Linked DNA regions of Ovis aries. The protein of the gene in region 2 interacts with the protein of the main gene of each other region in a pairwise test. Links are inferred from orthologs where the notes say so. Each region holds a gene or a part of one and is shown on either strand. Other genes may lie near its edges. The genes, in order: ABI2, VASP and TRIM9.

Region 1 (3,746 bases), on a different chromosome or scaffold from region 2:
CACTATCACCATGTTCTATTTATCAACTTTACTACAAACAAATCATGTACGAGTTGTCATCTGTTGAGAGAACGCCAATAATATACCCACTGGATCCTAATAGCACCTATTTTAGGTTCTAAATTGAAGAAACAAGGTATTTTAAAATCCAAATCCATTTCTATTAATCAGCACTTATATTCTGAATTTTAAAACACCGCATTAAATTCTGAGTCCCACCGCTAAGACAAATGATGGCAGCAACATTCTTCTCCTTTGAACCGCAAGGAATATAGTGATGACAATGGTTGATCGCTTCACTCTCTCAGCTTTATCAACTCAGGTACTTTTACCTTTAGGTAACAACTGCAACCTAAGAGGAACTATACCTTCAAATTACAATAAAAATTATCTTCCAAACAAAGAGAACTTTTTTAAAAAAAATTAGCAGTGATAACTGCAACCCAATCACTTTCCACCCTGTTTCTCTTCTGAGACCTGTAACTCTTTCCCATATGTTGCACAAGGAATTGTAACGACTACTTCAGTCCTTTTAATTTGCCTCTCCTAGAGACTCTGAATTTCCAGAGTGAGGATAGCATAGTTTCCTCCAGTCCTTCTTCCCACCTGCAGCCCATTAAGAATATAAACTGACGCTCAAAATGGAATTCATCTGCTAAAGATCAGCCTTCCCACTAACTATACAATGAAATTCTGTAGACACTAGCTACCTATCAACTCTTAACAATGCCAGGCCATATTACACTTTCAAATATATTTAGTGAAAACTAAGCATCTCAACCTTTTACTCTCTCCTACCACACTCAGTATCAGCAAAGCACCCCATGAATATGGACATCTGTACTGTCTATATGAGCCTTTGACCCAAGACACACTCTATCTTTTCCTGCTGGCCATACTTTCAACTTTCTCTTTGGAGGGAAAAGCCTTGGATTATGTCTGATTCATTCTCCAGTACAAATATTCCATACAAGAAAATATAGTGCTCAGGATATGTCCAATCAAGTAATATCTTACAACACTATCCTTGATTAACCATATGATCCTTACAAAATTTATGAACCTATAAATTTTAACACCTTTTTTTTCTTTGGTTCACACCAAGACTTGAGAATGCTTCCCAATATAGCTGATGTTAGGAAAGATGCCTGGAGAGATGGAGGTGGGAGAAGGAAAAAAGGCCATAGTGAAGGAACAATTTAACACATTGCTTCCATTTCCACCTATATCCCAAGAGAATTTAAATGGGAAGGGAAAAGATGGAGGTAGAACCTATGATTCAGAATAAGCTATAAAGAAAACAAAAGATGCTGACTTTGCAAACTGTGCATCTTAAACTATCCTTTCAAATAATTTTTTAAAAAGAATTGTTTTTAATCACATAATCTTGCTTCTTCCAGAAGAGGCTCAATTTCATCTCACCCAATACCCCCCGCCTTCATACACAAACATACAGTGCTATCACTGAGTCCCGATGCCAAACCAACCATCACGGAAAATTTAAACCGTGAGAATTATTTCCCATTTCTCTCTGAAAGATAATCACAAAAAATTTCCCTGCAGGCAAATTAGCTATTTCTAACGGGCTTGGAGGCGGGTGGCAGAAGGGAATAAACCATTATCATGCAGCTTCTCATTCTCCATAGAGAAGAAAACTGGCATTAACTTCCAACAAGGGGGACAGCTGCTCTTATACTGTATCCTCAGTTAGAACCTAAAAACAAGGCAAAAAAACCACGCTGAGCTTTTGATACATTCAAATGAATATAAAGCTACGGCATTTTACTTTGCAGCAATATAGCGCCTCAAAAATCCTCCAGAGATTGGGGGCGACCCATTAAACCCCAAATCCTTGCCATATGGGGGAGTAGGATTCTGTCAAATAGAAAATGCCACTCTCCGCCTCCTCCGCCATCGCGAAAATTGACCGGCACCGATTGCGGAGGCGGCCGAGGGAAGAGAGGAGGCGGGGACACACACACGCACACACACCCCGCACCGAGAACTGATTCACGGCTTTTGAAAAATGCTTGAAAGCTACAATTTCCTCCAACCGGAGAATTCTCACCCATTCTCCCGCTCCCACCCTGCTTCTACCCCTGCTCAGCTGCACTGTGTCCCTGCTGCGGCCTCGGCCCCGTGTGCCCTACGCCCCCAGGCGCGGCCCCCGGGCCGGGGGTCCCCCACGCGCCGCTCAGCAGCCAGAGGCCCAACACGCCCAGGCCGGCAGATGCGTCGCACCTGGATGTAGTTGTTCTCGCAGTAATCGGCCACCCGTTCCAGATTCGTGTAACTGTCGAAGAGGGCCCGGCGGCCCCCCGGGATTTCCTCCTCCAGCAGCATCTGCAGCTCCGCCATCTTCACATCCTCCTCCTCATACAGACCGCAGAGGCAGCGGCGGCAGTAGCGCCAGGGAAACCCAAGACTAGGAGAGGAGGAGCCGAGGCGACGGCGGCGGCAACCCGGGAGGAGCGAGAAACACCCCCTGAGCGCGCGACAGGGGAGGGGGCAGCGGGAACGGGGGCGGGGCGCGAGCCGATGGACTCGGAGGACGGTCACCGCGGCGACGGCCGGCCCGGCGCGCGCACGCGCGCTCCTCTCCCTCCACCCCCGGGAGCCCGAAAAAGGTTCCCACCCTTGGTCGCGCCGCCCGCCCCTCCCCCACATCCGGCGTCTCCTAGCGACCGCGGGAGTGGGGGCCGGGATGCGCGCGGGAGTTGAGCTCGCGGTTAACCCTTCGGCCCCCGCAGGATGCGTGGCTGGGGCAGTGCACCCCGCGGCCTTTGTTAGTCCGGCGTGAACGCCCACCCGGCTCTGCGGTCTTCCCGCCCGCTTCTTCAGCGACTTTCCTCGGCGTTATCCTCAACCTGGGGCCCAACCTTATGGTAGTGGGCCTGAGGGATAATATTAGCCCCACTGAACTCCCATGCAGCTTTAACTGCGCCCCACTTTTAATTTTTCTCATCTTTGACCGTATTCATCCTCTTTGGATAAATAAATTTCAGTTTCCTAATCCCAAATTTCCTGCCCTCCAGCTTCTTTGCACCTGTTTGCCAATCAACAGTTTCCCCTGCCAGGTTAGCCTCGGTTCTTTTCTCCTTTGCCCATCCTCTGGCCTTCAGCTTTTCCCACTTGCTCTGTGCTACTCTTCAGTGACAATCGTTTTTATCACTTTCCTGAGTCTATCAACTTTTTTCCTCATCTACTAAGGATTTAAAGTTTAAAAAACGATTTTGCTGGTACTTTCCTTCCTCACAGGGCTATTACATGGATAAAAGTTTATATGAAAGCACCTTGGAAAACGTTAAATGCCACAAAAATTCAAGGTAGACCATTTTGGTCTTGCAGTTACTATTCTGTATTGTATATTTTTTTTCCCCTAAATCTGACTACTCCACACATGTAATTTTTAAAAACTGAAATTTCTGACAACTGCTGAGATATTATAAAGTCCATGACCTTTATTTGTACCATGGAAAGTCAAAGCTGACTGCCTTTGCAGTTTAGAGCAAGATCTATTATTTCAAGTCTTGTATTTGTGATCTCTTGGCCCGCCTAGTGATTTTGCCCCTCCTTTTTTTTTCTCCCCTGATAATGAGGAAATTACTGTCTCAAATCACTTTAATGCTTTCCTATTGTTTTATTGGCTTTTTGATATACACATTGGCAAATTGTTTTGAGTTTTTTCTGTGTAACCCAAGTTAAAGGATACTGAAAATGTTCCAGTCTGACTGGTTTTATTCTTA
Region 2 (3,508 bases):
ACCAGGCTACCTCACCTACCCCTGCCCACCCAATGAACCACCGAAGAGGGGGGTGTGTATGACCTCTGATTCCTGAATGCTACTTTTTAAGACTGTAAATATTGTAATAATTAAAGGAGCTCTGGAGGGAAAAAAGTCATCTTAAGAAAGTGTCTTGAGAACCATGATGTACATCTGCCAACTGGTACAAGGCTCACTAAAATTAGAAGCTCGAAGGGTTCCCGGTGGGAGAAGGCCTGAGTCAACCTTCGAGTCCTTTCCCAGACAAAGACACTGAGGTCCAGGAGAACCAAAGGGTCTGGCCCAAGGGCAAACGGTCAATGAGGGATGCCCTTGGCTTTCTCTAGGGCTGGGTGGAAAGGAGTAAGGAAGCTGCCCATTGAGGGGCACCGGGAAGCCAAGAGGGGGCAGAGGAGCAGGTTCCGGTGGGAAGGAGGAAAGTGAGGGAAGGTGGATTACTGAGGGAGGGAGGGACATGCCCATCCTCATGAGAGCAGCCATTCAAATGACACCAGAAATCTTAGCATTTATAAAAACTGGCAGATTTATTCCGCAGGGGCCCATTTCCAAGAAGCTAAAGGTGAAGGTAAGAGGGGAGGTTCCTCCCCTACTCCTTTCCCCCTTATCTTGTTTATCCCCAGGGGGTAAAAATGGCCTAGACCCCAAAACCTACCCAAATAAAAAACCAAAAAACTGAGGTTCCAAAAAGTTACAGCATCTTAATTCCTCATAGAAAAGGGGAAGGAGACAGAGGGAAGGGAGGGAGGTCCCTGGGGTAGGGGGAGGCACCCCCAGCCTGGTGGGACAACCCTCCTTACACAGCTGTCCCAAATGGGACAAGCCAGGGACACAGCATTTAAAAACTCCCACACCCCATTTTATCAAAACCAAAGAGAAAAAAAAATTTTCCTCCCCCCACAACAAACCTAAATATATATATATATATATACTTTTTTTTCTTAAAAAACAAAACTTCAAAGGCATTAAGCGTTAAAGTGAATCTACAAGGGAATGTGAAATTCCCTCCTTCCTTCCCCCTTACTGTGGGGTTACTTGGTACATCCCCAGCAGAGGAACCAGCCCCAAGGGGATGGCAGAGGGGAAGGATCAAAGGGAACAAAGGGTGGGGGCTTCCCCAGCCAATCAGCAGCCAATATGGGTGTGGGCACGGTGCTGGGGAAGCCACACCCCTTGGAATTTTCCAAGTGACATAGGGAGTGGGGACGATGCATTCCTGTGTAGACTTCAGCCAATTCCAAGTCGAGGCAGGGAAAGCAGGGTGACAGGTGGAGGGGGTATGCAGAAAGGAGAAACTGGATTTTCTGGGGCCCTGTGGTCAGGGGGCACCCCGCTTCCTCAGCTCCTGGACAAAGGCTGGAAGGAAACAGTGGGCAGAGGTCAGGGGCAGAGCCTCTTCCCCTTCTCCCTTCCAAAACAAGGTTCCAAGGGACACCATGCCTCCAAAATAAATAAATGCTTAAAAAGGAAAACACCTCACCTTCAATTATTTCCTCTTTCACTTTCTGCAATTCCTTCCTCACCTCTTCCAGAAGCTCCTGAAAATGATGGGGGTACAACCAATGAGGAAGAGTACCTGGACTTGCAGAAGTGAATCCCCAGTTTCTTAATGACTGAGGGGCCAGAGGAAGGAGGGTCAAGACCCGTATCGCACACACACCATGACATCACTGGCCAGGCCACAAAGTGACTGAGATTTCTAGAGGAGAATTCTGGATCCTCTGAACCAGAGAGAAAAGCAATGGAGAACATCCAGTACCAGGGCTGGCAAATGAGACATTCCAGTCTCCTGCCAACTCCGGTTGGCGATAAATGTCTGCGGCCAGTGTGCGGAAAAGGATTCTGGATATTCACCAGGAATGAGTGTAGTGATGTTAGCAAGGTCTGTCATGGGCGTTGTACAAGGCGGTTATGGGGTCTGTCATCCCTGACACGATCCAATTTCTCCAGTACTCAGACTGGGAAGCTGAGGGTTCCAAGGCCTTTTCTAGAATCACATAGCAGGTCAGTGGCAGAGTCTAGACCCAGATCTTTCTATCCCCTAACCCTCACCCCCAGTCCCCTCCCCTACCTGTTTCACCCTCTCCAGGTCTGACTCATCACTGGAGCTAGGCGTAGGTGGGTGGGCCTCGGAAGTGGCCACTGAAGACGACGACTTCATCCTGGGAGAGGTGGCGTGGTGTGGGGCAGAAACAAGGTTAGAGAGAGGGTCTGCCTCCCCTGCCTCCCATTCCAGGGGTCACTCTGTGTTCCTCCCTACAAACTTGGCAAGTCCGACTCTTTCTAGGGGTGGGGCCCCAGTACTGATGGCCCACCTTGGCAAGGTTGTGCTGTTCTTCTCCCAGGGTCTCCGCACAGATTCTGGGGGACAGACAATAAGTCAAAAAGATCAGGAACAAGGAATGCCCTGCCTCAGCCTTTCTTCCCGAGCCTCATCAACCCCCATTCAAAGAACCATCTCAGGAGACTACAATCCCCAGGATTATCTGTACAGACTCTCCCATGAAGGTGTGTTATACATGAGAAGAGGGCATCCTGGGACTTGTAGTTCCTGTGACTAGAGGGGGCTCTCACTCACTCACCACTGTGGGCTGGGACTCTGGCGTCTGACTCCTCCTGCTGGTGGGAAATAAAACTGTCATGAGCCAGACATGGCCATTCTGCTCCTTTTCTTCCTCCACCTTCAAACACAGCCAATCCCTATCACAGCCCCCGCCCCAATATTCCTACTCTAATGGTACATCCTAAGGTGTATAAGGCAGGAAGGGTCCCTAACTCACATTGGCAGATTCATCCTTGGTGGGTTTCTCTCCAACTTGCGTGGCTTTCCTTCTGTGAGAGAGAAAGGCAGAAACAGATGGCTTCTGTCCCCTCTCAGCCACTCAATAGTTCCCTTCCCCAGAGTTCTGGAAAAGTGGGTCCTAGGGTGCCGACTTCTGGAATTCATCAAGGCTAAGCACATTTTAATTTTAGAAGTCAAAGAGAGTGCTGTTCTCGAATGAGGGGGTGGGGGTGGCGTTTAGGATTCCTACATTTGGGAATCACAAAATTCTCAGGGCAGAGTCCCCAGCTTCTGAGGTGGGGTCATCTAAGGTCCTACAATTCTGGGTTCCAGAACATTCCAGAGGCTACCTAGGGGGTTGCAAACCTCAGTCATCTCAGGAGAATGCAGTCCCCATCATTATATCTCAAACCTGGCTGTCAAAGGATGAACTTTCACCCAACGAAACAAACTAACCAGGAATCTGAGCCCTCCCCACACCTGGTCCTACTGAACCGGAATCTCCAGGTGATAACTGCTGGGTTGAGGGGTTTGTTTTGAGAGCTTTCCAAGACCATTGAGAGCTCTGAGCTCGGGCTCACCTCCGGGCCAGCATGGCGTTCATCTCCTCCATGAGGCCTCCGCCCGTGCTTCGACTGCTCTCAGCTTTGGGGGCCACGGGCCCCGCTGAAGCCTCCTCCTGCTGGAGAAATTACAGAGAAGAGAGGG
Region 3 (3,746 bases), on a different chromosome or scaffold from region 2:
CTTGGAAAGAAATTTTGTCATTTACTTCACGAATCATTCAGCAAAAGGCAGCCATGTGCTACTTGAAATAAGTTACTACCTCAGCATATCACCATGTCACTTAACTTAAAAGTGGATTTGGGGGTGTTTTTTTTTTTTTGGTCCTCCATCCTGGGTTTGATCCCTAGGTCGGGAAGATCCCCTGGAGAAGGAAATGGCAATCCACTCCGTACTATTGCTTGGAAAATCCCATGGACAGAGGAGCCTGGTAGGCTACAGTCCATGGGATAGCAAAGAGTCGGACACGACTGAGCGACTTCACACACACACATCATCATCAGATCAGCAGTTCTGCAAGCAAGGGACAGGACCAGTTATCTCCAGCGATGACTGGGGAGAGAGAGAAGAGTGCTTAATATTTAAGGACTGACACTAGAACTACCCTGTCCCGCCCCCATCCCCCCATCACCATCACCTTATGCACTTCACTAGAAGAAACAGGAAGAACCCACCATCCTGGAAGCTGTGGTAGACGCTATTTGGTGTCACACACTGAGACTCTGCAGTGACACAGTGATCCATTTACTGAACTGTGGGCACTCAGAAATAAGCAACCCAATCCTGCCTCAACTGAACCAGATTCTGCTGCTCTTGTGGAAGCTCGGCCAGGTGCTGACAGCATGGTGAGAGGATAGCTTTGAGGTAACCGGGACTGAAGTGGGGATATAGGGACACAGTCACATCACACCGTAAGAAGCCTCTGGGCCGAGTTTGTACTGACAGCGTGAAATGAAGGGGGCATAGATTTTAACTAGTATACTGAGCTTTACGTGAGTCCCTAGTTTAAGTCACACAGCAACTAGGAAATCGATAGTCAGTCCCCCTTTAGACAGCAGGAACTAGGACAGAAAGAAGACAAAGAAGAGTTGACTCCTGCCAGGGCTCAAGGCCTGTACCATCGGGTCCCCGGAAGCTGGAGCGCAGGGACCGGCTTTCGCGGGTTCCTGAGCTGGGGAGAAAGTCCCCGCTGCGGTACAGAAACCGAGGTCTGGGTGAGGCGCCAGCAGCGGAAGGAGAAGGGCCGTCTCCTCTGTGGTGCAGCACCCGCCGAGGGGAGGTCGGCGCGGAGACCATAGCTGCAAGCCAAACGCAAACGCGGGCGACAGGCATCAGCCCCTCTGCCAGCCCCCTCCCTGCGAGGAGGGGTTTCTCACGCTCCGTTCTCGGGAGACTGAGCCGGAGGTCGGAAGGAAGAGGGGCGAGGGATGAGTCATCCCGCCTAATTCCTCCTTCCCGGTCCCTTCGCCTCCGCTTGCCGGCCGCCTCCCGAGATCATGCAGCCGGGAATGAAAACTCCCCTCATCCTCAGAATCCTCCACCAAACCCCCTGTGACCGGCAGAGAAGAGGAGAAGGATGGGGCATATGGCCAATGAGAGCTTCGCTCTCTCGCTCTCCGTCCAATCGGCCGCTGTTTACAGGCTGGGGCGGGACTAAGGTGCGAGGAGGGGGCGTTCCCGGCTGGCTCTGGGCGCCGAGGTTCGGTGGCTCTTAGAGAGAGCGCCTCGCTGGGAGTCGGCGCCTAAGCGACGCGAGAAGGCGCCACTGCCAAAACCACCGCCGCCACTGCTGGCCAAGGTGCTGGACACGACAGGCCAGCCGGCCACCTCGTCAGCTCAGGCGCCCGTTGCAGCCGCAGCTGCTTCGCTCCCAGCCGGATCCCCATGGAAGAGATGGAAGAAGAGTTAAAATGCCCCGTGTGCGGCTCCTTCTATCGCGAGCCCATCATCTTACCCTGCTCTCACAATATATGTCAGGCGTGCGCCCGCAACATCCTGGTACAGACCCCGGAGTCAGAGTCCCCCCAGAGCCGACGGGCCTCGGGCTCCGGGGTCTCTGATTATGACTATCTGGATCTGGACAAGATGAGCCTGTACAGCGAGGCGGACAGCGGCTATGGCTCCTACGGGGGGTTCGCCAGCGCCCCTACTACACCGTGCCAGAAGTCCCCCAACGGCGTCCGTGTGTTCCCCCCGGCTATGCCGCCACCGGCCACCCATCTGTCACCGGCCTTGGCCTCTGTGCCCCGCAACTCCTGTATCACCTGCCCCCAGTGCCACCGCAGCCTCATCTTGGACGACCGGGGGCTCCGCGGCTTCCCCAAGAACCGCGTCCTGGAAGGGGTAATTGACCGCTACCAGCAGAGCAAAGCGGCTGCCCTTAAATGCCAGCTCTGCGAGAAGGCACCCAAGGAAGCCACCGTCATGTGTGAACAGTGCGATGTCTTCTACTGTGACCCGTGCCGCCTGCGCTGCCACCCGCCCCGGGGTCCTCTGGCCAAGCATCGCCTGGTACCCCCGGCACAGGGCCGCGTGAGCCGGCGGCTAAGCCCACGAAAGGTCTCCACCTGCACAGACCACGAGCTGGAGAACCACAGCATGTACTGCGTGCAGTGCAAAATGCCCGTGTGCTACCAGTGCTTGGAGGAGGGCAAACACTCCAGCCACGAAGTCAAGGCTCTAGGGGCCATGTGGAAACTGCACAAGGTAAGTCCTAAGAAAACCCACCCCTAACTCCCCGCACCTCCGATCCTCCGTTTTGCAGCAGATGACACTTCCCCCCCTCTTTTGCGCACAGTGCATCCCAACGGGAGCGCAATGCAGGTGCCTCCGATATCTGCTTCCCCCGTCTGGTGCATTGCAGGAAGCGCAGGGGGACCTTAAACGGCGCACAGGGGAGTTGAACCTCTCCAGAGAGTTGTTTCGGGGATGCGTAGAGCGGGTCTCCCCGGGCACGCTGCCTGCGAGCTAGGCGCAGGGCGCCCCCTCCCCGCCGCAGACGTGCAACTCTGGGCCGCCACCAGCGAGTAGGAAAGCGATGCGTTTACTGGGCCGACCCGCGGCTGTTCTCAGGGACGCTCCAGGGCAGAGCCGGTGTGGGGCTCCAGCCGTGATCCCCGGGGAGGAGGTGGGGGCGGTTGGGTGGCGCGGACCGCTGGGTGCGGAGCTGCTGAATAGGCTGGCGCCTGGAGTCGCGGCGGGGGCGGGAAACACGCTGCGAGCGGAATACTGATTAGTAGGCGCTGGCCCATCCCAGCGTCCGCGCTGGAAGGATGCGGATCCGGGTGCTTTGCGCTCAGGAGGTGTATGAGTGGGGAGTAGGGTGGAAGAAAGGAAAAAAAAAAAAAAAAATCCTGTAGTCGCCATGGCAACACGGCCGGAGGCTGAGGCCCTGACCCTCGCGGAGAGGACGTGGGCTGGAGGAGCAGGACCGGAGGTTTCTGCGCGGTCGCGGCCTGAAATCTAGGCAGGTGCATCTTCCAGTTTCTCAGGGTAACCCCTCCTATTGACCGCCTACACACCCGTTTGTCCAGAATTCAGCCGTTTTCCTTTATCAGTAATTGTCTGTGCAAACTTTGAGACACCTGTTACCAAATTTATCTTTCTGATGTCTTTTGATGGCACCGCCGCCAAAGCTAGCCTCAAGAACAGGGCCTTTAACAACTTGTTAGGTCATGCCTCTCCCCTGTTCAAAGGCCTTCCGTTCCCCCCACGTTTCTTAGACAGTCCTTAGGAAGGTCCACCAGGACCTCACATGACCTGTTTTCTTTGGCCTCACCGACCTTATTTCCTCCCACCCCCTCTGCTTGAGCCGGCTGTCCCTCTTGCTGTCCCTCCACAAACACCAGGCCCCCCTGACCCCAGGGCCTTTGCTTCTGATACTCCTTCAGCCCCAGACCAAATACCCTGTATCTTAATAGTTCATTCTT

The links.
Region 1: the proteins of VASP (region 2) and ABI2 interact in binary tests that used the Homo sapiens proteins (3 or more experiments, as listed by UniProt). The link is inferred for Ovis aries from reciprocal best matches to the Homo sapiens genes VASP and ABI2.
Region 3: the proteins of VASP (region 2) and TRIM9 interact in binary tests that used the Homo sapiens proteins (3 or more experiments, as listed by UniProt). The two-hybrid records come from large-scale screens. The link is inferred for Ovis aries from reciprocal best matches to the Homo sapiens genes VASP and TRIM9.

Annotation. Positions count from the first base shown.
Region 1 is NC_056055.1:205,328,324-205,332,069, reverse strand, and holds the start of ABI2 (abl interactor 2), read right to left. Parts: upstream 2,397-3,746; 5' UTR 2,359-2,396; coding exon 2,242-2,358; intron 1-2,241. UniProt on the Homo sapiens protein: Regulator of actin cytoskeleton dynamics underlying cell motility and adhesion. Functions as a component of the WAVE complex, which activates actin nucleating machinery Arp2/3 to drive lamellipodia formation.
Region 2 is NC_056067.1:52,901,966-52,905,473, reverse strand, and holds the end of VASP (vasodilator-stimulated phosphoprotein), read right to left. Parts: intron 3,483-3,508; coding exon 3,382-3,482; intron 2,851-3,381; coding exon 2,799-2,850; intron 2,638-2,798; coding exon 2,601-2,637; intron 2,380-2,600; coding exon 2,334-2,379; intron 2,181-2,333; coding exon 2,090-2,180; intron 1,557-2,089; coding exon 1,499-1,556; intron 1,375-1,498; coding exon 1,337-1,374; 3' UTR 521-1,336; downstream 1-520. UniProt on the Homo sapiens protein: Ena/VASP proteins are actin-associated proteins involved in a range of processes dependent on cytoskeleton remodeling and cell polarity such as axon guidance, lamellipodial and filopodial dynamics, platelet activation and cell migration.
Region 3 is NC_056060.1:42,182,458-42,186,203, reverse strand, and holds the start of TRIM9 (E3 ubiquitin-protein ligase TRIM9), read left to right. Parts: upstream 1-1,510; 5' UTR 1,511-1,701; coding exon 1,702-2,523; intron 2,524-3,746. UniProt on the Homo sapiens protein: E3 ubiquitin-protein ligase which ubiquitinates itself in cooperation with an E2 enzyme UBE2D2/UBC4 and serves as a targeting signal for proteasomal degradation.